Linked DNA regions of Caenorhabditis elegans. The protein of the gene in region 3 interacts with the protein of the main gene of each other region in a pairwise test. Each region holds a gene or a part of one and is shown on either strand. Other genes may lie near its edges. The genes, in order: mif-3, T27A8.2, end-3 and pah-1.

Evidence for each region.
Region 1: the proteins of end-3 (region 3) and mif-3 interact in a two-hybrid assay, tested with the Caenorhabditis elegans proteins (one large-scale study listed by BioGRID).
Region 2: the proteins of end-3 (region 3) and T27A8.2 interact in a two-hybrid assay, tested with the Caenorhabditis elegans proteins (one large-scale study listed by BioGRID).
Region 4: the proteins of end-3 (region 3) and pah-1 interact in a two-hybrid assay, tested with the Caenorhabditis elegans proteins (one large-scale study listed by BioGRID).

Annotation. Positions count from the first base shown.
Region 1 is NC_003279.8:7,311,414-7,316,245, reverse strand, and holds mif-3 (MIF-like protein mif-3), read left to right. Parts: upstream 1-2,720; 5' UTR 2,721-2,721; coding exon 2,722-2,775; intron 2,776-2,818; coding exon 2,819-2,881; intron 2,882-3,011; coding exon 3,012-3,335; 3' UTR 3,336-3,449; downstream 3,450-4,832. Other genes in the region: F13G3.10 (Nascent polypeptide-associated complex subunit alpha-like UBA domain-containing protein), read left to right, coding at 1,972-2,037, 2,347-2,571; Innexin eat-5, read left to right, coding at 4,512-4,679.
Region 2 is NC_003284.9:16,056,379-16,061,799, reverse strand, and holds T27A8.2 (Fork-head domain-containing protein), read left to right. Parts: upstream 1-2,854; 5' UTR 2,855-2,865; coding exon 2,866-3,125; intron 3,126-3,752; coding exon 3,753-3,873; intron 3,874-3,924; coding exon 3,925-3,969; 3' UTR 3,970-4,124; downstream 4,125-5,421.
Region 3 is NC_003283.11:14,012,454-14,017,704, reverse strand, and holds end-3 (GATA-type domain-containing protein), read right to left. Parts: upstream 3,011-5,251; 5' UTR 3,005-3,010; coding exon 2,749-3,004; intron 2,694-2,748; coding exon 2,604-2,693; intron 2,557-2,603; coding exon 2,301-2,556; intron 1,982-2,300; coding exon 1,855-1,981; 3' UTR 1,728-1,854; downstream 1-1,727. Other genes in the region: srh-308 (Serpentine Receptor, class H), read left to right, coding at 129-447, 961-1,154, 1,205-1,508, 1,552-1,727; aip-1 (AN1-type domain-containing protein), read right to left, coding at 4,265-4,366, 4,418-4,475, 4,523-4,743, 4,801-4,875, 4,923-5,017, 5,069-5,126.
Region 4 is NC_003280.10:8,761,269-8,768,073, forward strand, and holds pah-1 (Phenylalanine-4-hydroxylase), read right to left. Parts: upstream 3,944-6,805; 5' UTR 3,804-3,943; coding exon 3,768-3,803; intron 3,673-3,767; coding exon 3,556-3,672; intron 3,148-3,555; coding exon 2,955-3,147; intron 2,903-2,954; coding exon 2,740-2,902; intron 2,628-2,739; coding exon 2,431-2,627; intron 2,381-2,430; coding exon 2,245-2,380; intron 2,070-2,244; coding exon 1,943-2,069; intron 1,899-1,942; coding exon 1,669-1,898; intron 1,624-1,668; coding exon 1,449-1,623; 3' UTR 1,354-1,448; downstream 1-1,353. Other genes in the region: nsph-1.1 (Nematode Specific Peptide family), read left to right, coding at 5,932-5,961, 6,029-6,187, 6,371-6,436, 6,566-6,805. UniProt on the Caenorhabditis elegans protein: Catalyzes the hydroxylation of L-phenylalanine to L-tyrosine. Catalyzes the hydroxylation of tryptophan to 5-hydroxy-L-tryptophan. Plays a role in the biosynthesis of a melanin-like cuticle pigment.

The DNA.
Region 1 (4,832 bases), on a different chromosome or scaffold from region 3:
AGGGAAAGAAACATGACACTATGTCGGCCTTCTGATGCATAACTGACGATTTTTTTTCATCCAAAAAACCAGGAGTACATAACTAAAAACATGAAGGTTTCGACCACAAGTAGCCGGAGAAGAAGACCAAATGAGACAATCAAGATAGAAATGTCGTTGAAAACCAATCGAATTGGGGCACACCCAAAAATGTGAACATGTAGGAAGGTTCGTTGTTTAGATGGCTATGAAGATGACGGTTATTGTTAGGACACAAGAGGGAAGAAAAGAGGAGAAGGACAAATAACGATATTGACTCTATCAAAAGGGTATCACACAGTTATGGTTTTTGTGAGACTCGTAAGTATTAAACAACATTAACTATCGTGCGCACAACACAAAGCGCGTTATTTACGGACCAATCGATGTGTGTGGGGACCGCGAATAGTGTCCATAAAGGAGACGCCGGTGGTTGATAAAAAGGAATGGTGGACGACGACGTCCTTGACGAGTCGCTAATGTGAAAAGAAAATATTGATTGTTGGTTGCCACAGTCAGGTAGCTGGCTGAATGAAATGAAAAATGGAGTTTCTACAAACAAAGAGAATCAGGCAGAGATAGCATTTTTTGAGACGAAAAGTGAGAATTTTTCTGTTTGGGAACCTTAATTAAAACTTGAAATTCTATCTTAAACCTGAAGATTTAATTAATTAATTCCAAAATGATCCTTAAGATCTTTTATAATTCTCGTTACTTTTTTTCAATTTCACATTCATCATACAAAAAATCGAGAGACAAAAATTTGAAAAAAAACTGCCTTTTATTTCTAATTCAAAATGAATTAAGGTACATGAATATCTCAAACATTTGAGGAGATCAATATAAGTTCAACATAGCAGACTTTTTTATTCAAAAAATTATGTTTTTTGGTACATTGGCGAAGGATAGAGACACAGATACGAGAACGCTAAAACCGCGATTTAGATGTATAAAATGTAGCGGGGAGAATGGTTGAATAACCCAAGAAGAACCTGTCCTATCGTGCGTATTAGGCACCCAACTGGTCACGGACGACGGTGTCTGCGACGACGACGGCCAATTCGTTCGAATCGATTCGGATTCAGCTGACTTAGAGAATGGAGAATTAAAGAAAATATTTTTGATGACTGACTGATTATTACACATATAAGTGGAAGGGCAGATTTCCGAAAAATAGAAATGAAACGCGTTTCGAGTGGTTTTCTAAATAAAACAAAATGTTGCGCAATCGGAAAAGTCAATTCATGCATGCATATCCGGTGAAAAATAAACCGATTTCACCAATTATGGTAAACCACTTCAGTTAATTCAAAAGAATATTATCATTTTAACTGGAAAAACAAAAAATTCGTGTGCAAGAACTTGACAGAAACATGAGACAAAGTTAGATGGAATAAAATATGGAGGATGTTCTCCTTTTATCAATCCAATCTGAATCATAAATGTTTTTGATTCGTCTGCATCAACATATGTGACGTAAAAAGGAATTCAGTTTTATTTCAACGTTCTGACGCAAGACAGAATTTGTAAGAAAACACCGAATGTTCGATACTACATAGAAAATTGAATTTGTAAAAAAAAGAGAGAATTTAGTGAAAAATCGACATGAAATGTGACAAACACAGGAAAAATACTCGGAAAATGGAGGACCATCAATAATTTAAAAGTGCCGAACGACACTCCGTTCTAACGACTGGTCGTTGTTTAGCGCACCAAAAATAGAATTTAAATTACCGCGCTTACACAAGACAGAGTAAACAACACGCATCGCGTGATTTCGGAGTCTTGTTGGCAATTGTGTGTTGTTTTTTGCCGATTTTTTTTTCAGTTTTTATTTTTGAAAGAGCTGATTATTACAAATTCCAGCGATATATTTTCTGAATTATTACTTTTAATTTATCGCTGCACCGTTTACCTTTTTCTTATCTGATTCATTAACCTTTATTCTAGAATATGGGCGAGGAAGACGAAAAACAACAGGTGGACAAACACAACTGGGGAAGCGAAGAACTTTCTAAAGTGAGTTTCAATTCAATTTATTTTTTCAAAAATAATGCGCGATGAGTTGTCCTCTCTGTCCGTCTGAACCTTTTCATCCTCGTCCAAGAGGGCAAATAGATGCATTTTGCTCTCCTCCTGGGGGTGTAACAATCGCGACCCGTTTCTCTCCCTCCCACTGCTTCCATCGAATATTCTCGTTTTTTGAAGGCTGAATTCAGCATGAGTTCGAACGGGGAAGAGAGTGATTTCGATGAGCATTACATTCCAGAAGTATGATTTTTATTTGCATTATTAACATTTTTCCATTAAAATTCTTCATTTATTCAGGTATCCGACACTAGAGAAGAGAAAGATGATTTGAAGCTCAATACTGACGCTCTTGGAAACTTGTTCAATGCTTCTGCTCCCGCACGGCCCAAGATTAATATCAAGAAAGAGGATCTGCAACTGATTATGAATGAATTAGAGCTTCAAGAAGGAACAGTTCGTGCCAAACTTATCGAAACAAATGGAGATGTCCGTGAAGCTCTGCGATCTCTTTGTGGCCTTTAATTGATCGTTTTTACTTGTTGGTAGAATAAAAATTGTTTTTCTTGTCAAAAAGTTTATTTAACTCTCCCTAATTAATCGGAATTTAATACCATTCGATATCTATCTTCACTGTATGTAAAATCCCCAGTTTTCACCATTTTTGTGTGCAGAATGCCCGTCATCAAAGTGCAAACAAATGTCAAAAAAGTATCCGATGGGTTCGAGGTAAGATTAAATCTTTCTTCAAAAATAAGCCTAATTTTTTCAGGTCCGACTTGCAATTCATATGGCGAAAGTGATGAAACGTCCTGAAAGCCAGATATTCGTCTCGGTGAGTAGTTTTATAATTTTACCCGAACACTACTATATTGTTAAAAAACAACTACTCATTTCTGAATAGGTAACTATAATTATTTCAATTTATGATATCGTATTCACGACAGTTAAATCAACTTTTTCAGCTCGACATGAATTCTCGAATGACGCGAGGACAATTGACTGATCCCTTAGCTGTTTTAGATGTCACATCATCCACAGTTCTTACTCCGATTCTCACCGAAGAATACACGGTTGCTCTCTGTGAATTCTTCTCGCAGGAGCTGGCTCTAGATTCTGACGCAGTCCTCATTAATTATCGATCGCTAAGCCCGGAACTTATCGGATTCAATGGACATATTCTTACCGAAAATCGACCATTCATCTCTACAGATCGTGCTCGCTTCATTATTGGAGTTCTAGGCATTGCGTTTCTTGCATTCCTCCTTCAATTCCTCAAATATATCTGAACACTCAATTCCATAATTGCATTCCCTCAATTCAATTCACTTTTCAAAAATTTTAACCCAAACGGTAACTCATTTGTAAATAATTGTAAAATCATAATAAAAGTTTATCAAAACAATCTTACAATTAGTGCGAGAAACATGAGAAACGGCACTACTCAGAAGTTCGGATTGAGAGGAGATTCTAAATATCGAAGATCTAATCGAAATTTTGTCAGGGTCCAACTGTCGAAATAGGCTCGGACAGAATACTAGGATCTCCAAACTTGTTTGAACCCTCATTTCGTTGCCACCATAAATCTGAAAAAGTTCTCCCAATTTCATTATATTTTTGGAATTTCCGAATCAAAATTTCGGAAAAATGAGATTTTAAATGTAATATTATTAGTGTGATTTTGGCGCTAAAAATACGGTGTCTGGTGTGTGGTCTCGACAAATTTTTCCAAAATGTAAAAGTATGTTCGTCTTTGAAGAATACGTGAGCAAAACTGTTAAATGGCGATTAAGGTTACGCAACAACGAGTGTTTCAAACTACAGTACTCTTTAAAGGCGCACACCATTTTGAATTTTACTAACAATTGTCGTGTCGAGACCGGGTACCGTATTTTTGGCGCAACTTCGTTTTTGTGTAATGAATTTTTTATTAAATAGCTCCCCCTTTGCTTAAAAATTCACAGATTGTGAGAAATTAAAAATTAAACTGAATGTGAGACGTGGGAGGAGCCTAAATAATAAGCAAATTGAAAATAAGCCACGTTTCATGTGTCAATTATCTAATTTGATAATATCATCCCGTTCTTACAATTAGTCCTAGTTAGTCCTTTGACAGTCGTGCCAAAGAGCAGCGCCCCCGCTCTTTTTGCCAGCTCCGAGAGCAATAATCCGCGCGAACTCCTCTCCACTACACTGTTTGCGTAATAATCATCATGTCTCTCTGTCTTGTATATATCACTTACCGTTGAAATGTATCAGTGTGTCAGTTCCCTCATTCTATCTGTGTATTTTAGTGCTTCCACAACCTCGAGAAAAGCCTCTCGAGAAACATAGAAAATAAGAAGAAGAATACAGTTTAGAAGTAGGCTCTTCGTCCTTCTTCGTTCCTCTTTAATTGTCCTCCTAGAATCCCAGAAAAGAAGCAGAATCCACGTGCAAAGGGCACTAAATCAATTGGAGGCAGCATGAATATGCTCGGGAGCATGTTCTCGATGGTCAAACCGAGGCTGGATGACCTCGGTACTGACCGTCTCAATTACTATTATTCAACTCTTATTATTATGGGAATGTCATTGACAATTACAGCAAGACAGTATGTCGGATCACCATTGCAATGTTGGGTTCCTGCTCAGGTATGTTATGTCAGTGATGACGCAATTAATTTGAATATAGTTGGGTCCTGTGCTCAAACCATGTACATGTTTCGCATATTATCGTGTCAAGAAACCTCTTAGATTTTACGAGAATATGCACTGGGGATGAACGAAACGAACTAAGCAGTTAGT
Region 2 (5,421 bases), on a different chromosome or scaffold from region 3:
TGTTGATTAATTAATATTGCAACTAATTATTGGTTTGTTACTTTTCTTATTAATTTCTTTTATTACTGCTTTTTTTGTTTGTTGTTCAGATGAAGTTATTTTTGTTACGAATTCTGCTACAATCAACCAAAATTATTTGTTCTGGGGCTTTCATGAGCCAAAAATGCTTCATGTCTTTCCGGCCGCTACATTTGGACCCATTTCTACCGTACTCATGCCCGTTCGCAACGCACGCGTGAAGCATGCTTCCTTTCGCAATGCACGCGTGAAGCATGCTTGCTTTCGCTACGCGCGCCTGACGCATGCGTGACGCGCGTCTTCGCTTGGTCCTCTCAGACGCGTGAGCGAAGCGTGTGAGACGCGCCACGCATGAGCCGCGAATCACCTGTGAGGGTTCAATCCCCTCACCGAACCAAGGTGGTTCTGAGTTGCTCACATGCTCAGATAAGTGGAAGTTCGGAAGATTGATGATCAAAAAGGTGGTGTTGAATCTTATTGTTTCATTCAACATTGACAAAAGATCGAAAAATGTTTTTTTCATTTTCATAGAATTGTCTTCAACTAGGCTTATACTCTTTTCACTCTCTTTTTCTGCTTTAGTTTCCCACAGCGTTTGTCAGAAATAACAAAGTTTGTATGATTTTTTTCCAATTTTTCCGGAAGAAATTTATGTTGGTAGGAATGTTTTGAACTGAAGACAAAAACTCCTGTAGCGCGACCAAAAACGAATTTCTTGACCCAGAAACGTACCCATAATACTAAAAAAAAATTAGCAACCATTTTTAAAAAAATTCTCCCAAAATTCCGAAATTTTTATTTTTGTTTTTTTTGTGCCTGTATATACCTGTTGAAATTGGAATTCAAGCCAAAAACCCCTGTAGCGCGACCAAAAACGAATTTCTTGACCCAGAAACGTACCCATAATACTAAAAAAAAATTAGCAAACCATTCTCATAGAAACTCTCCAAAAATTTCAAAATTTTTTTTTTGCAAAAAAGTGCAGTCATATGTATGTAAAAAAATGAATTGAAGACAAAAACCCCTGTAGCGCGACCAAAAACGAATTTCTTGACCCAGAAACGAACCCATAATACTAAAAAAAAAATTAGCAATCCATTTTCATAGAAATTCTCCCAAAATTCCGAAATTTTTATTTTTGTTTTTTGTGCCTGTAAATACCTGTTGAAATTGGAATACAAGACAAAAACCCCTGTAGCGCGAACAAAAACGAATTTCTTGACCCAGAAACGTACCCATAATACTTTTAAAAAAATTAGCAATCCATTTTCATAGAAATTCTCCCAAAATTCCAAAATTTTTATTTTTGTTTTTTTGTGCCTGTTGAAATTGTTGATATTGAGGAAACCTGTTGAAATTGGAATTCAAGACAAAAACCCCTATAGCGCGACCAAAAACGAATTTCTTGACCCAGAAACGTAATACTAAAAAAAATTAGCAATCCATTTTCATAGAAATTCTCCTAAAATTCCAAAATTTTTTTTTTGCAAAAAAGTGCAATCATATGTATGTAAAAAAATGAATTGAAGACAAAAACCCCTCTAGCGCGGCTAGAATATAACTTGTAGGTCCAGAAACTTATCCATAATCTTTTAAAAAATTTAGAATCCAAATCTATGGAAACCCTACCAAAATTCCAAAATTTTTGTGAAAAAACTTCTGTCGAATACCATAGGAATTCTTCTAAACTTTGAAAATTTTCATTTTTGTTTTTTGCGCCTATATTTGGATTACCGGGGGGAGTCCCATAGTTATTGGCGGGACATTCAAATTTTCTAAGAAAAAATTTAGGCGAGAAACTCAAATTTCCTGAGAAAAAAAAACATTTTGGCAGGAAATTCAAAGATTCATAGTCCGGAACTAGATTTGCTTTCTTTCCTTGTTAGTAGTGCGGCATTTCTTTTTGCTGCAAGATATGCCGTTGTTGTTCTGCTTATTTCTGGAAAAAATTTCATTTTAATATTTTTGTGAAAATTTTCTGTTTTTCCATGTTTTTCTATGAATAACTTTTATGGAAATTTTTATGAATTGTTTAGCTTTAACAATCCTTCTAACAGTTAGGAAATGACTAAATATTATAATGGATCTTTTAAAAATTTGTGGAATTTTTTTTTATTTCGGGTCTGATCGTGCGCCAATTTTGGAGAAACCAAAACACTGTTGCTTGTTTGAATCCCAACAATATTAAAATAGGATTACTGGAAACGTGAGTCAAATTTAAAACTGAAGGTAACTTTTTTTTTGAATATTTTTATTATGATATTTGGACATTTTTAAATTTTAATGTGAACGAGTTTTAATCTTTTCCCACAGGCCGTTGTCCATCTTCAATTAAAGTTTTTTTTCATCTTTACAATCATCAATTTTATAAAACCTTCAACTATGCTCAGATATAGCCGACTCAAACTTTTCATAATTTCGAAATTCAATTTTTTTTCAATTTTTTTGTTTCCTTTTGATTTGGTCATTACGAGTTCGTTGTCGTGTCAAGATTTGACCTACGACAAGTTGGTGTTGCCTGCAATGCGTGAGTCGCGCGACAGGTCTGCCCTCGTCTTCCGCACACTATTATCGATCGATGGTTTATGGCCGTTTGCTGACATTTGAATGTGCCATTCTCTCATATCCACAGCTATACTTTTTTGTGGTTTTTTTTTTGTTATTTTTCATGTAATTTTCGCCTAACTGAATCTGACGTCTGCACGATTTAAATTTTTTCCCACTCGGCAAGTTGCCGCAATATAAGATCCAAAAAAACAAGACATTTCTGTATTTCCTTTATTATGTACGTGGCAAATAAATTTGAGAACCTTCAACTAACTAAGTAAATTTTCATTTTCAGCTACCATGACGTATTTCACTCACGAAATGAACCAAATTATGGGGCTTCATCATCCGGAAATGGCGATGCCCAAGTTCAAAATGGTCGCCCTGGTCAGTGCTGCGATGGAAGAAGCGGATGACGTGTTTCCGGAGATTGAAGTAGTTGTCAAGTGGATCACCGACTTGTTCCCGTATTACAAAGTGTTTCACGATATGTACAAATGGGAGTTTGTTAATCATGTGGCCTGGGTTCTGGACACCGAACTGTGCTTTCGTCGAGAAAGGTGAGTTTTGTGAAGTTTGTAGAAATATTTTTAACAAAAATTTGAAACATTTCAAATTCTTTTTCAAATATTATCGGAAACTGAATTTTGTTGTCAGATTTGCGTGTAGCGTTTAAAAATTGGTTTTCATATAATTTTCAACAAATTCAAGTAAATCCAGAATGTAATTACAACAAAAAATAAAAATAAAGTTCTGCTAAAAAATATCAGATAACAAGTTATATAGCCAAATCATACAATTGCTGTTCATATAATTTAGACATAAGAACCAGAACTGTGCGGCAACCGGCAACCAAGTTGCCGGTTGCCAAAAATTTGCCGAAATTTCGGCAACCAAAATTTGCCGGTTGCCAAAATTTTTTGGGTTTGGCAACTTCGGCAATTGCCGGTTGCCGCACAGCCCTGATAAGAACCCCACAATTTCTCCAAAAATTTCACCAAAATTTCTTTTTATCAGTTTTTTGGAAAAACAAAAATATGTGAATACTCATAAAAACTGTATTTTTTTGGTTTATAAATTTTGCTAAATTTAATCACTAGCACTTACTTAAGAATAACTCCAAAAAAAACTTAAGAAATAACTCCAAAAACTATTCGTATATGTTTTTTTATACTTTCAATTTGCAGAGACGTGAGATCTGGACTATGGGCTTATGAAGACGGCAACAAGGATATTCTGGATGTTGAGGAGGAGTTTCGAAAGGATATAGACGAGTTGAAGCAATATGTGGAGCATCAGGTGGAAATGGTATGTTGCCATGGAAATTTCAGTCATATTATATTAAAAATTGTTTTGCAGACGGATCTTGCTGGACGGATGTATTCGATGTCCTCAACCGGGTGATCTCTTGACAAGTTTTTCATAAAAATATTTCATTTATACATTAATTCAACTTATTCACTTTTTAGATTTTATTGAACCAATTCTGTATATAAAAAAGTTTCCAGTTCAAAACATTCCTACCAACATAAATTTCTTCCGGAAAAATTGGAAAAAAATCATACAAACTTTGTTATTTCTGACAAACGCTGTGGGAAACTAAAGCAGAAAAAGAGAGTGAAAAGAGTATAAGCCTAGTTGAAGACAATTCTATGAAAATGAAAAAAACATTTTTCGATCTTTTGTCAATGTTGAATGAAACAATAAGATTCAACACCACCTTTTTGATCATCAATCTTCCGAACTTCCACTTATCTGAGCATGTGAGCAACTCAGAACCACCTTGGTTCGGTGAGGGGATTGAACCCTCGACTGTTGACTCCACGGTCGAGTGCTTTACCACACTTGACCATGTTGCCAGCTCAGGATGAGTCACTGATTGCGTTGAGTTGGCGCCATGAAAACGTGGCGCGGTGGCGTAGAATGGCGCAATTTGTGCTGAAAAATGAACACTAAATGTGGGTAAAGTATATATTTCTAATATCAGAATTTTGCACTGATTTCAATGGGCAGCTTCAAATTGTTCAATTTTCAATCTAGCAGAAATTGGGACTTTTGCCAAAAAAAAAAATAAATCGTCAAATTCTATTTGTAAACCACGTTAAACATTATTAACTGTGAAAATGGTAAATGGTCCCATATCAGGGTGTCCCACAAGAAGATGATCTATAACGAAGTATCATAATATATCAATAAATCCAATTGACAACAGGTACTTTTGGTACACCCCTTTTGGTTGAGAAAAGATGGGGCGCAAAAAATAAAGTCATCGAATAAAAAAGTGAGACTGGCACCATTTATAAAAGTGCCGTAGCACGGCGGACAATTTGCAAAATAATTTCCAACAGCTGCAACACAGACAAATTAATATGACTTGAGGTTTTAGCAAAACTCTGTTTTTTTTTCGATACTGAGCTGTCATCAAAACTGAATTGCATTGTTTCAGATATCTATTTCAAAAGTTATTTGAGATAAGTTCAAGTCCGAGTCGGATTTAAGTTTGAAACCACTAGCTAGTCCACCTTCAAACTTTAATTTAGATCAAAAATCTTTTAAAAACAATTTTTGTGGCCACTCGCGCAGGTAGCCATCCTCCCTGCTGCTAAATTCGCTTTTAGGCGGTCACAGATATGGGAAGGGGCATCTGACTTTTAAATATAAAGTGCCATGACTCGTTTTTTTTTTTCAAATTTGCCGCAGGGAGTTGCACATTCTGTGGATAATCAATATGGTCGCTGTGGGGGGTTGTCCATATGGCCAGGGGTAAAAATCGGATAAGATGGTGCTCGTTTTTACCCGTTAAAATTTAGAAAAAAAGCAATATTTTGAAATGCTAAATTGTGTTTATTAAAACCG
Region 3 (5,251 bases):
ACGCGAAAAGCTTATCCTATTGAGTGATCAGTTTTAGAACAGGTGAAAACGTTTCCTAGCTAAATTATGAGCTTTTATCCCTTTTTAATTTCTCTCCGTGATTTACTTTATTACCTCAATACCTCAAAATGTGCACCGAGGATATTAATTTATTTGCGACTGATGAGTTCTATGCTGGAATTCTTCACGTACCTACAGCCATCGAAGTGACCGTTCAATTGTTCGGAGCATATATTATTTTAACTAAAACTCCGCGCAAAATATGTTCTGTAAAGTTCAACATGGTCTTATTGCACATTGTGGGAGCAATCGTCGATTTATATCTAAGCTTTATTGCATCTCCAATGCTAACACTACCTGTCAGTTCAGGATATCCTCTTGGATTCTCTTTAATATTAGGTATTCCAACTGATGTTCAGGTTTATCTTGGATGTGTTTTTGTTGGGGGTTAGTTTATTTTGAATTGGCTAACTAATGGTAATAGTATAATAAATATAAAACGTCTTATTGAAAACAGAAGCTTTATTATGTTTTCAGTTTCGATATGAATTAATCTAATCTCAATAACAAATTATTTGATTCCCAATTTTTTTGTGATGTCTTTGGCTTTTTATTTAAAGAAAACTTCGTGCCAAATTTTGGCAACGCACCTTTGACAACTTTCTGTCCAATTTCGGCAGTTTTCTGTCGAACCTTTGTAACTTCCGAGAGTGAGTAAGTTGTCAAGGTTTGAGAGAAAAATCCCAGAATTTTACAGTAGGTTGTCTAAGTTTGACCAAAAGTTTCCAAAGTTTGGCAGAAGATTGACTAAGTTTGTTGGAAGGTTGGACAGAGAACTGCCAAAGTTTGACAGCAAGTTCCCCAAGTTACGAATTTAATGTTTACTCTAGGGTTTTCAAGCTACTATTCCTTTTTAAATTATTCAATTTGAGAGGAACCGAACAATTCAATATATTTCAGTGATGTGCGTGGCTGTAACCATATTCTTCGAAGATCGCTATCACCGACTAATACATGGGCATACAACAAACGGATCACTGAACTGGAAACGTACCTTATATGTTGTATTAAATTATACTATATCAGTGACGTTTATTATTCCCGCATATTTAAAACTACCGAATCCTGAAGTAGCAAAGCAATATGTGAAAAATGTGAGTTTTCGTTTTTTTTTTGAAAGCTTTAACCAAAAAGTGAATTACAGATAAATCCATGTATTCCAAATGAAGTTCTCAATCGTCGGGAATATTTTGTATTTGCCACTGATAATACAATAGTCAATGCCTGTCTTTTGAGCATGTTCTTCATATGTCTTCCCCAAAAATTGTATTTTCTCGGAGCAATTTTTCGATACTTTTCCCAAACAGTGTCTCTCTCGGCAACTACTGCTCGCTTACAAAAGCAATTCTTCTATTCAATGTGTATTCAAATATTTATTCCAGTTGCATTCATCTCATTACCAGTTTCATATTTTGTCATGGCTTCGGAAAATGATTACTATAATCAAGGTAAAATTAAGCTGAAATTTGAAAAAAAAAATCATTTTTCCAGCTGCCACAAACATTGCGATGATTGCAATTGCATGTCATGGAGTTCTTTCCACTATAGTCATGCTTATTGTTCACACTCCACACAGGAAATCAATTCTTGCAACACTACATTTCAAATCTGAACAAGCTGTTCGAAATTCACAATTGATCTGGAAAACTGTAGTATCAAGAGCATGAAGTTTTTTTATTTATTTATTATGGAAACCAGCAGAGGGGAAATAAAACAAATAGTTAAATTATAACCGAAAGGTCATGTTTGATTAGAAAAATAATAATGCTTATTGCACAGAGTTGATCAGTTAAATCAAAAATTAAAAGCATTAGAGTCAACAAGTGGAGCAACTGGACGGCGTCTTCTCTTGGCAGCTGGCTTATTCCAAAGATGTTGTGGTCTTTTATGTCCTTTGACTCGTTCGTAAAGATTACACGGACTGAAAAATATGAGATTTAAAAAACTCAAGTTCAAAACTTTTACACCTAGAGAGCCCTCAAAAAATAGTGAAAAAAATTTCCACCAATTTTTTTTTGAAAATCGTCGATCAAAAAACAGACAATGCTTTGAATTTCTCGATAAGTGGTTAAAAAAAGAGTTTTTACTACTTTTCGACATGAATAAAACATTTCAAAAAGATGATAAAAAGTTTCATTGCGGTATCTGGTAACTTTATCAGCATAGGAATGATTTTTAAACATTTTCTCACTGACTGTAATCGTAATTTAAATAGAACATTCAAAATAATTCAAACTTACTTGCACTCAGTTTCTCCTTGCTCATTTCTCCTCCACAATTTCGTTTCCCGACATCCACAATTGGAGCACGAAGAGTTGATATGCATTGTGGAAATCTTCTTGATTTTATTTTTCGAAGCTTTTCTAGCTGGCTTCCATTCTTGAACTTCTTGAGCTGGAAAAAAGTTGAAGCCCCCGTCAATTGGTATCTCTGGCATGGAATTTTCATTGTTGTCGGGATTGGTGTGGTTGATGGAAGTTTGAGATTGCTGGAGGTCTAAAATAAATTTAAGATTAGGCTGTAAGTTTCATAGTTAATTATACCATTAATAGGCGTCGTGAATTCAAATTGATTTGTAAAATCAAAATTTTGAACTGGAAATTGAAAATCAGGCATCTGTTGATAGTTTTCATCTGAAACATTAATTTTAAATATAAAAGTAAAATAAAATAGTTTTTTAAAACTCACTGTAGTATCCTGCACCATTATCTGGTTGCATAAAATTCTGTTGCATTGAATTGTCATAGCCTCCATTGTATGAATTTGTCGTCATATCTTGTGCCGGATAATGATGATAATTCATATTCTGGAGGACATCTGGAGATGGTGTCCCGTAGCCTTCTTCATTGAATTGGACTTGTTCGGGAAACTGAGGGAATCCAAAATCAAAAGACATTGGTGAGTTGGAAGATGAAGATGATGAAGAGAATGAGTTCGAGTACATGTTTATACTTTGAATGAGAATGCCTATTCATTTATCTTGGAGCAAATCATGGTAAGAAGAGGGCGTGCCTCAGCGTTCCGTATACTTTTCAGCAACCGCCTTTTTCTAGAAGAGACACAAGGCGGGGTGTGCTTTGAACGTGGTATACTTTCAGCTATTCATCTAACCGATTATACAATCAGTGTATACTCTTTTGTCGGAGCCATCGGAACACTTGGAACATACTTGTTTGGTATACTTTTACTTCTTTTTTAATTTACCGTGGGCTCTCTCAAATAGAAGTGCATCTCGGATTTAAACTAAAAGTATTTGTTTCATAAATTTTACTTCAATAAAATTTCCATTTTAAACACAAATTATCATTCGGAAAGAAGTTTTTCACGTGCGAGAGTGAAAGAGTAGAGAGAAAAAGAGGGAATTTGAAACACGTGAAATTTAGAGAGGTTCTGATAGGGGAACAATTAAATTAAAATACACGTTTGCATTTTAAAAGATCACATGAATAATACCATAACACGTTGCTCTTGTTTTTTATTTTTCCAAAAACTCGATTCTCTCCAAATCCAATCATTCACAATTTTAACGGAACAAAATTTTTTGTAATTGCTGAAAGAGAAAACTGATCCAAATTAATTGAATATTTATTAGATAAAGTTGTGTAAAGCTCGACATGCTTGTATTTTCTTCTTCTTTTTCTGTTCAATTCTCAACCAACAAATATTTTTGGTAGTTGAGAAATCTGCGTCAAATTACCGCTATTCCCGTAGATCTACGAAGATCAAACCGATATGGGACACTCTGACACCACGTGGGATATACTGTAGAAACTGCAAAAATTAATTGGCGACAGTACTATTTAAAGGAACACACGCCTTTGCGCGAAATATTTTTTGTTCGCGTCGAGACCTACACAGTGAGTCTCACCTTTGAGCCAAAAGATGCATTTCTCAAAATTAGGTAAAAAATGTTTGAAAAGTCCAAATTTCGTTTCAGTCAAAAGTTTGCAAAACTCTTATTTTACTTTGTGAACCCCAGAACACCCATTAACAACAGTTCAAAGCAGGTGAACAATTTCATATATCAAGAAAAAAGAAAAAGTATTCAACATTGTACAAAGAATCAATATTTTAGTAGGACTGAAGTTGGCGAAGTGAAATGAATAAAAGTTTTGACACGGATATGAACTAGAACAAGGTTGAAGAGAAATGCAAATTGTACAGAAAATATGAGAAGGGAAATAAATATACACTAAATTGGATGCTATGAGACGGTGCAGTTGGAATTGGAATTTCTTGTTTGATGCGGCGGTGCAACTCGATTGTATTCTTCTTGTTGTAGAGAACGAGCCAGAGCTTCATCTCCCTGGAAACATTTGTGATTTAGTTAGTTGTTTTTTTGAAAATAGATACAAACCTCTGTTCTTGCTTGTGCGGAACATGGATTCATTCGGGAACGCGCGATTGATGTGATTCTGGAAAAATACCTTGAAATTCGATTTATTCAAAACAATAAACTTACGAATCCGTCCAGCTCTTTTTCTGATTTATCTTCATTTCGCCAACTTTTCGCTCACAACTGTGATCCCGCTCGTGTCTGTGAGAAAGGCAGTAGTTGTTTCGACATTTTGAGCAATTCATGGCTACCAGCTCTTTCTTCTTGCATTTTGGGACGGTACACGCGTTTGAATATACTTTTGCACGTTTCGGAGTCTGACAATTGTTCTGAATGTGCTCATTGACCTGAAAAAGAAACAATTTTTATCAATATTTTTGCAGGAATAATTTCAAAATAATTACTTGTTGATCAACATTGACATCTTTCGGCGTTGGAACTGGCTTCTCACATATAGGACAAATAGGAACTTGAACGGACTGAAATTTAATAATTTTAATCTAAAAAAAGATTTTCAAACACTTACAATTCTTGAGCCAGTCGGACAATTATGAGCCTCAAATGTGAAGTGCTCTGAGCAGTAGAAATGTCCACAACCGGAGCATTTGATTGGAAGAAAATCTGAAATAATTATTTTTTTATTTAATTAATTTTTTTTAAATGTTGACTTACCAAGTCTGTTGCAAACTGTGCTCTCACAGTGCTTTCCGAGATTTGGGAACTCCGCCATAGCTGAATAAAGCAAACGATATTGATAGGAAACGAGAGAATATAGACTTTTAAACACAAGAAATGATGACAATTGGAAAAATTCTAGAATTTACCAGAAATGCCAGACATCGGGTTACGAAATTA
Region 4 (6,805 bases), on a different chromosome or scaffold from region 3:
TTAGATATAATTTTGAGTTTTTTTAAAAATGTTTTTCATCTGATTCTGAAAAAAGTTTATTTGATAGACAAAAAAAACTATAAAAAGCTGACCGTCTTCCATTCCAAATATGAAAAATAATAAAATCGTGGGTCGAGGGAAAGAGGGAAAATATTCGATTGAGAATGCAAACAGTGTGCATGTTCACACAGCTGGCAGTACTATATGTTTCCAATTATTTTATTCTATCAAAATCATATTTTAATAGTGAAACAATTGGTTAAACAAAAGGATTACTCTTTGAAGATTTGCAAAAAATTAAACAAAAAATACACCCGAATGTATTATTTGGCCAATCTTTAAAGTAAAATAGATGGTACTTGTGTATTATTTCCCCTCATTTTTAAATTCCATATATTTATCCATTTTAATAAAACATGATGTTCATTTTCCCTCTTTACGGTTATTTCCTGGTTATGGTTAAAATATTAAAACTTATTTTTTAAAAATAAGGGAAATAATACACAAGTGCCAACTAGATACTAAAATTGGGAAAATTGATGTTTTGATTAAACACAAATTCAATTTAATTTCCAAAAAAAATGAATTGAAAAGGAGTTGAAAACGCATGCTTGTAATAATCATGATAAGAAAGGAAGACAACATAAGAAGAAAAAGAATTGATTAAATGTACGTGGAGCCGCACCTTTAAAATGATAACAAAGTGCACATACAAATGTTTCACTAGACCTCTACATTTGCATAACCTAGTTTTGAGAACTCAGTGCCAGTTTTTACTTCTTTTTGCAGATGAAGTCAAAAGCACTTCATTTTGGACACACAACGAGACTTCCGTACAACACACACACACACACAAAAACTAAACAATAATCAAAAATGCATGACAATTTATATGCACAGTTTTCGTTTTTCGCAGTTAGATCACTCACACCAAAACACTCGCTGTCGTAGATGACGTGGTTTTTGCAACAAAAATGGATAACTGGCTTTAATTTGGGAAACATTTTGGTGCTCACACCAATTTTTCGCACTTTTTTCATGTGATGCTTCAAATAAAGTAATTGCTGAAAAGGAAATCGTTTCAGATGCCGGAAAAATGTTGGAAAAATACGCGTTAATCCTGGCGAGAGAAAAAAAACAAAACAATTGGAAGTGAACAAGGCTTCGAATTGTTTATTTTCATTTCAGTGCATTGCTTCCAACGACGGTGAACACTATTTTTAATTAATTAGTTTTCACATTTCCCTGTTTTCAAGGAGTTAAGGGAATATGATATGTTTTTTAGAACAGTCATCATAGTTGTAACTCCATCGTAGGTAGTTTAAAAATCGTCTGTAAATCGAGCAGCATGGACAAATTTGTAATTGTTGTTCAGGTTTCTTTGTAATTCAACAAACATTGAGAACAATGTACATTTATTCTTGCAAATTAACAATTTAATCAAAAAGTCACTTCATCTTGAGATTGTTCACTTTTCCAAGAGCTTCTTCCAAAGTAGAAATATCACTTCTGATGTCTCTTGCGAGACGTTGAAGTGCTGCTACCTTGTCGAGAATTTCAACTCGTTGAGTGTAAGCATTATAACGAATTTGGAATGGACGATTGATGGTAGCTGCCCATGATCTGAAATTATCTAGATTACAGTTGAAACTGACTATTTGATCCTACTTAAGTTTGTTCTTAGCACTTGCAAATGATTCAGCTAAGAAATACTTTGGCTGATATTCTGTGATTGGATATTTGGTGACACAACATACAGCTGGATCAAAATCTACAACTTCCGGCTTATCACTCAACGCATATTGAAGCTCTCCAAATGAACTCAAAAGTCCGGCTCCGTAAGCTTTTTTCTCCCCATCTTGTTGACAGATTCCAAATTCGATTGTGAACCAGTAGAGCTAATATTTCAAAATAAAAAGGGGGTTTCAATGTTCAAACATACTGTGGCAAGTTTTTCAATAACATCATCTGGAGCTCCAAGAGAAGCAAGACCGATTTCCTGTGAGAATTGTGCAAATTCAACATCAGCAAATAGTGGAACATGTCCCAGAAGCTCGTGGCAGATATCTCTGAAAGTTACATCTCCAGCTTATTGTCAAAAATTCAGAATATATCCAGATGATAATCAACCGATTAGATTTTATTTTCCTTTTATGTTGCACTATAGAGTTTTCACAATTTTTTCAAAGCAAAAGTCGTTTACGAAATCCCACCCTCGGTTAAAATTATCATGTTCAAACTCACGGTTCAGGTGTGTATTTTGGAGCGGAATGATGGCGAATGTATTGTGTGGAATGAAAAACACGGAAGGCCAAACCAGCCAAGAAATCACGAGAAGAAAGAAGACCAGCGACTGGTCGAATCGTGTACCCGGTACAATCTGAACACGAAACAAATACAAAAACAATCAGATGATAATGATTTGTTTACCCTTCAAAAAATCTGAAACATCCTGCAATTGTGGAATGCGGTCAGGTCCAAAACCACAATTCTGCTGGAGGAGTGGGAATATGTAGTTGAACTCTTGGCAAGCGTTTTTCGGGTACATAACTGTCAGCTCGTTGTAGACTGTACGCCACGTGGCAATTTCTTCATCAGTGTAGGTGATAGTAGGGATCTTGTCTCCGCTGGAAAGTACGATCAGGTTGCAATTCGGATTTTTTGGATTTTATTCAGTACGCCTTCAATGTTACATATTTATTGGCACATATTGCTACTTTTGTTGATGAAATGACTTACTGTTTGAAGTTGAATGCAATATCGGCGAAAAACTTTCTGCGCTCGCGGTAGGTCATGTCCTTAAATCCAGGGTGATCGGCATCAAGCTCAGCTCCATAAGAAAGAATTCTGTTGGCAAATTGATCGATGTCGTTGATCTTCTGTGGGAACCATGGAACAGAATCTACAAAGCTCTTGAATTTAATACTGTGAGTTTCATTATTGTTATAGCGTACCCTTGTTTTGTTTGTTTTTGGTGTTCCAGTCTTGAACAAGAACCTTCTTTTCAGCTTTTTGTTGGAAATGCTCAATAACTCCTTCAATCTTACGATGGTCTTCAGCTTCAGCAAATTCAACGAGCACCTCATAGCATCCTTCATGAGTCTTTGATGGTCTTGATTCAATGTGAGACAGATTCACATCATGTGCCTGCAAGAATGTGTAATGAAGCATGTAATTGGTAGGAATTTGAGACAATTGATATGATCTCTTTTTCTCGTGACACGATTTTCGACATCTTTGATAATCAAAAATCGCGAACCGGATTAAAAAATGCAACTACGTAGTTTATCTCTTATCATATTTAGAAACAGTTTGGTGCAAATTTTCAAATTTTAATTTGATATAAATGTTTTTTCTATGTCTACTCAACCGTCTAAACATAATTGAAGATCATATTATTCAACGCTTTATGATGCATAAAATATTAAACCGCCTGATCAAGAGTAGACGTGAGAATCATAAGATTTAAAAAAAAAAGTGTCGCTGACGCAATAGTCATCCTCTGAAGTCTCATGATCCTCTGACATTTCTAGTCTGGTTTTTTTCATGACTAACCTGGAACAGCTTCAATGTTTCAGCGAGAGCTCCTGCCTTTTCACGAAGAGTGAATACGATAGTAGTCTTGCCAATGTCGGCGTTGACGTCAGCAACGTACGATTCCATGGCGTACTTCTGAAATAAGTTGGACTTTAGTAATTGGAAATAATTTTACACAAAATTCTCAAACAGAAGTTTTTCTTGATCAGTTCAAACAAGGAAGGTCTCACCAAGAAGTCAAGATCATCTTGTCCAGCTGGTGGCATTTTCAGAGAACAAGATTTGGTTTTCAGAGGAATAGACAGTCACCGGGAAATAAGAATTAAACAGAGACAAAACGTGAGCCGTACGTTGCCGTTTATACGAGACGAAATAGCTGGAGACTCAGAAGCCTAGAGATACAAGGCGTGGCCTATGAACTAGATAATTCGTGTGGCCCCCAATACCATTCTGCAGAGAAAAATCCACGTGGGAGGAGACTCGCGGCTACCCATACACAACCTACACGTGGGTTTTCATTAGAGTGTAGTGTGAGATAGAAGAACGGTTGGAAGAAATTGAAAAAAATACGAAGAAGAAGAAGAACAGTCAGATGATGAACTTGAAAGCACGTGGAAAATGATATGAAATAGATCACAGACAAATGGACGCCTGAACAATAAAAGATATGATTATGATCAATGAAATACAGTTTGAACTTCCAAAAGAAAGCATGCCCCAGTGGATCTTCTTCGTAAAATAGATGTAAATCTCTGTTTCTAGTTGAGTTGAAATTTAAGACGTTGGGTATGAATTGGATTGTAGGCCTTTTCAGGCGTATGTGCTTACATACAGTCATTTTTCAATTTCAATTAATTGATGAAGCTTAAATATGGATAGTGGAATGTTTCATTTTTTCACGATGCTGAAAAAGGGGAAACTGAAACAGGTTTTTTTTGTTGAGTAAATTTACCGAATTTGGAGTCTTACGACTGCCTTGTGACGAGCCTCGTTCAAAACTTTTTTTCAACTTCCTCAAATTTCTCGAATTTTAGTTTTTGACCTTAAACAGACATTTCAATGGTTTTGATTGAAGAAAAAACCAAGTTTTCTTTGAAACGATCAAATGGGTTACGGTAAAAGCCATAAAATCATGGTGTATCGAATCGAAAGTAGGAGGGGGACGCTGAGAAAAATCAACAGAACACAATAATGAAAACTGGTTGACGCATCCTTTGTATTGTGAAAAGGAAGGAAAATGAGATGAGATGAAGACGTGGAATATTTAGATGGAAATATATAGGAGGACGTTTGGTTGAATGTCTGACATTTTAGGATGATAAATTTAGAAGAAAGAAATTTATATGAATGGATGAGACAAGACGATGTCATAAATCAGTTTGAAAACGGCAGAAACGATCAATAGTTGATGATGTCCGACTGGCTTTTATCAACTTTTCGTGAAAATTTTCGTTTGCAACGCGAATCTTCTGCAGACCATGATCTGAGATGTCTATGTCAATGAGGTAAATAGGAACAGTAATACAGCATTGAAACAATTAATTTAGTCGATGGTTGATCATAAAAAATGGAGAAATTTTGAAAATACTCGTGTACGAGATCAACTGATCAGCGACGGTTTCGATGAAAACAGGGGAAAATATAAGGATGATAACACTTTTGAAGATAGCAAAATATTTTGGTTCAAACAGTTTTTAATTAATTGAAATTATTTAACAATTTTCTAATAGTATGATAACAAATTCTATAATTTTTTTTAATAATTTCCGTAGTTTTGACCAAATTTTTGTTTAGATTGTAACTTCCACGGATATCACGTATACTTTGGCAATAGAGGCTGGCATAGGCCGCCTGGTAGGACTTTGTATTTATGTATTTTCAGCTGTTACCCTCTTTTTGAAAAATTAAAGTATGGCCGAAAAAAAGTATTTTTAAAATATTCAAAATTAGCAAATTGATTTTTTTTTTCAGATAATTTGGCAAACATCAGTTTCTTATTACAAATGCAAATGTTTGACGTTGGACTAGTATAAATAAAGAGCTCGATGTACAAAAATTATATCATAATATTGAGAAAAATGGATCAAACATACCTTTCTAATTTCATCAATATTCATCCTTATATAGCTGGACTCAACAGACCAATAATATAACTGATGGAATGTACGAAAAAGGAAAAGGAAGGAGGTACTGCCGGGATAATCATCAGTTTACGTTATCATCTTATATCTTGAATGCACCGAGTCGCGTGGAAGATATCCAATCTGACCTTCCATTTTTATCTATATTTTAAATAAATTTAAATAAACTTGTTCAGCAGAAAACTCGTTATTACGTGAACCAGATAGAAAAAAATGGTCGGAACAGTGAAATCAAATCAGTTTTAAATTTTTAATGGATAGGAAAGGGTTCACAATGGAAAAGGTGAGTGGCTTTCAGTTATTTGATGGCTATTGCACGCATTCAAACATTCTGCAAGTGATTTATTCAGGGAAACATAGACGATATTTGGACATTACAAAAAGTTGGCACACCTTTTCCACCAAATGTTGCAAAAGCTCCTGGTGAGACAAATAAGTACGTCGCATTATGGTATAAACACGGAAAACCAGTGATGGGCAGAGCTTGGAACGATTCTGGAGTGGTGAAGGTAAACTGGAAAAATAACTATTCAGAAATTAAAAATAGACTTCCAATTATTTGAACTTGCAAGTATGCAAGTTCGCCTGCATAAAAGGTAACTTACAAGCGGTATTAAAATATTAAAATACAAAAAAATATGGAGAGCCACCACGAAGTTTTGATTCCTTGGCCAATCAATCCAATTTTACAGGGAATTTTACCAACGGTAGATATGTGCTCTGGAAAGCTGGATCGATTTGCCAAGTTTCAACTCATCGTTTGTTGCATATTTGCTATTGATATGTTAGGCTCACTTGATATTTTAGGGAAAATTTTCCTTTAAAAAATAAACTAGGAAATTCTAAGACTATATAATAAAAAATATCCATTTAATCCAACTTTTCAGTGCATGTTTGTTCTCGATGATAAGATATATAGTGGAGCAGATGTCGGAGGAAGCATTCAATTACTTATTCTCGATCATATTGAAAAATCAAAATCATTTCATTATGATTGGGTAAACTTCAAAAAAGCACAAAGTTTGACAATTGAAGGAAAATATGAAATGGTTCGATGTGAATACAGTGCATCAATGTATTGGCCGGAGCATGGACTATTAGGATGCGTGAACACAGAGAAGCTTGTC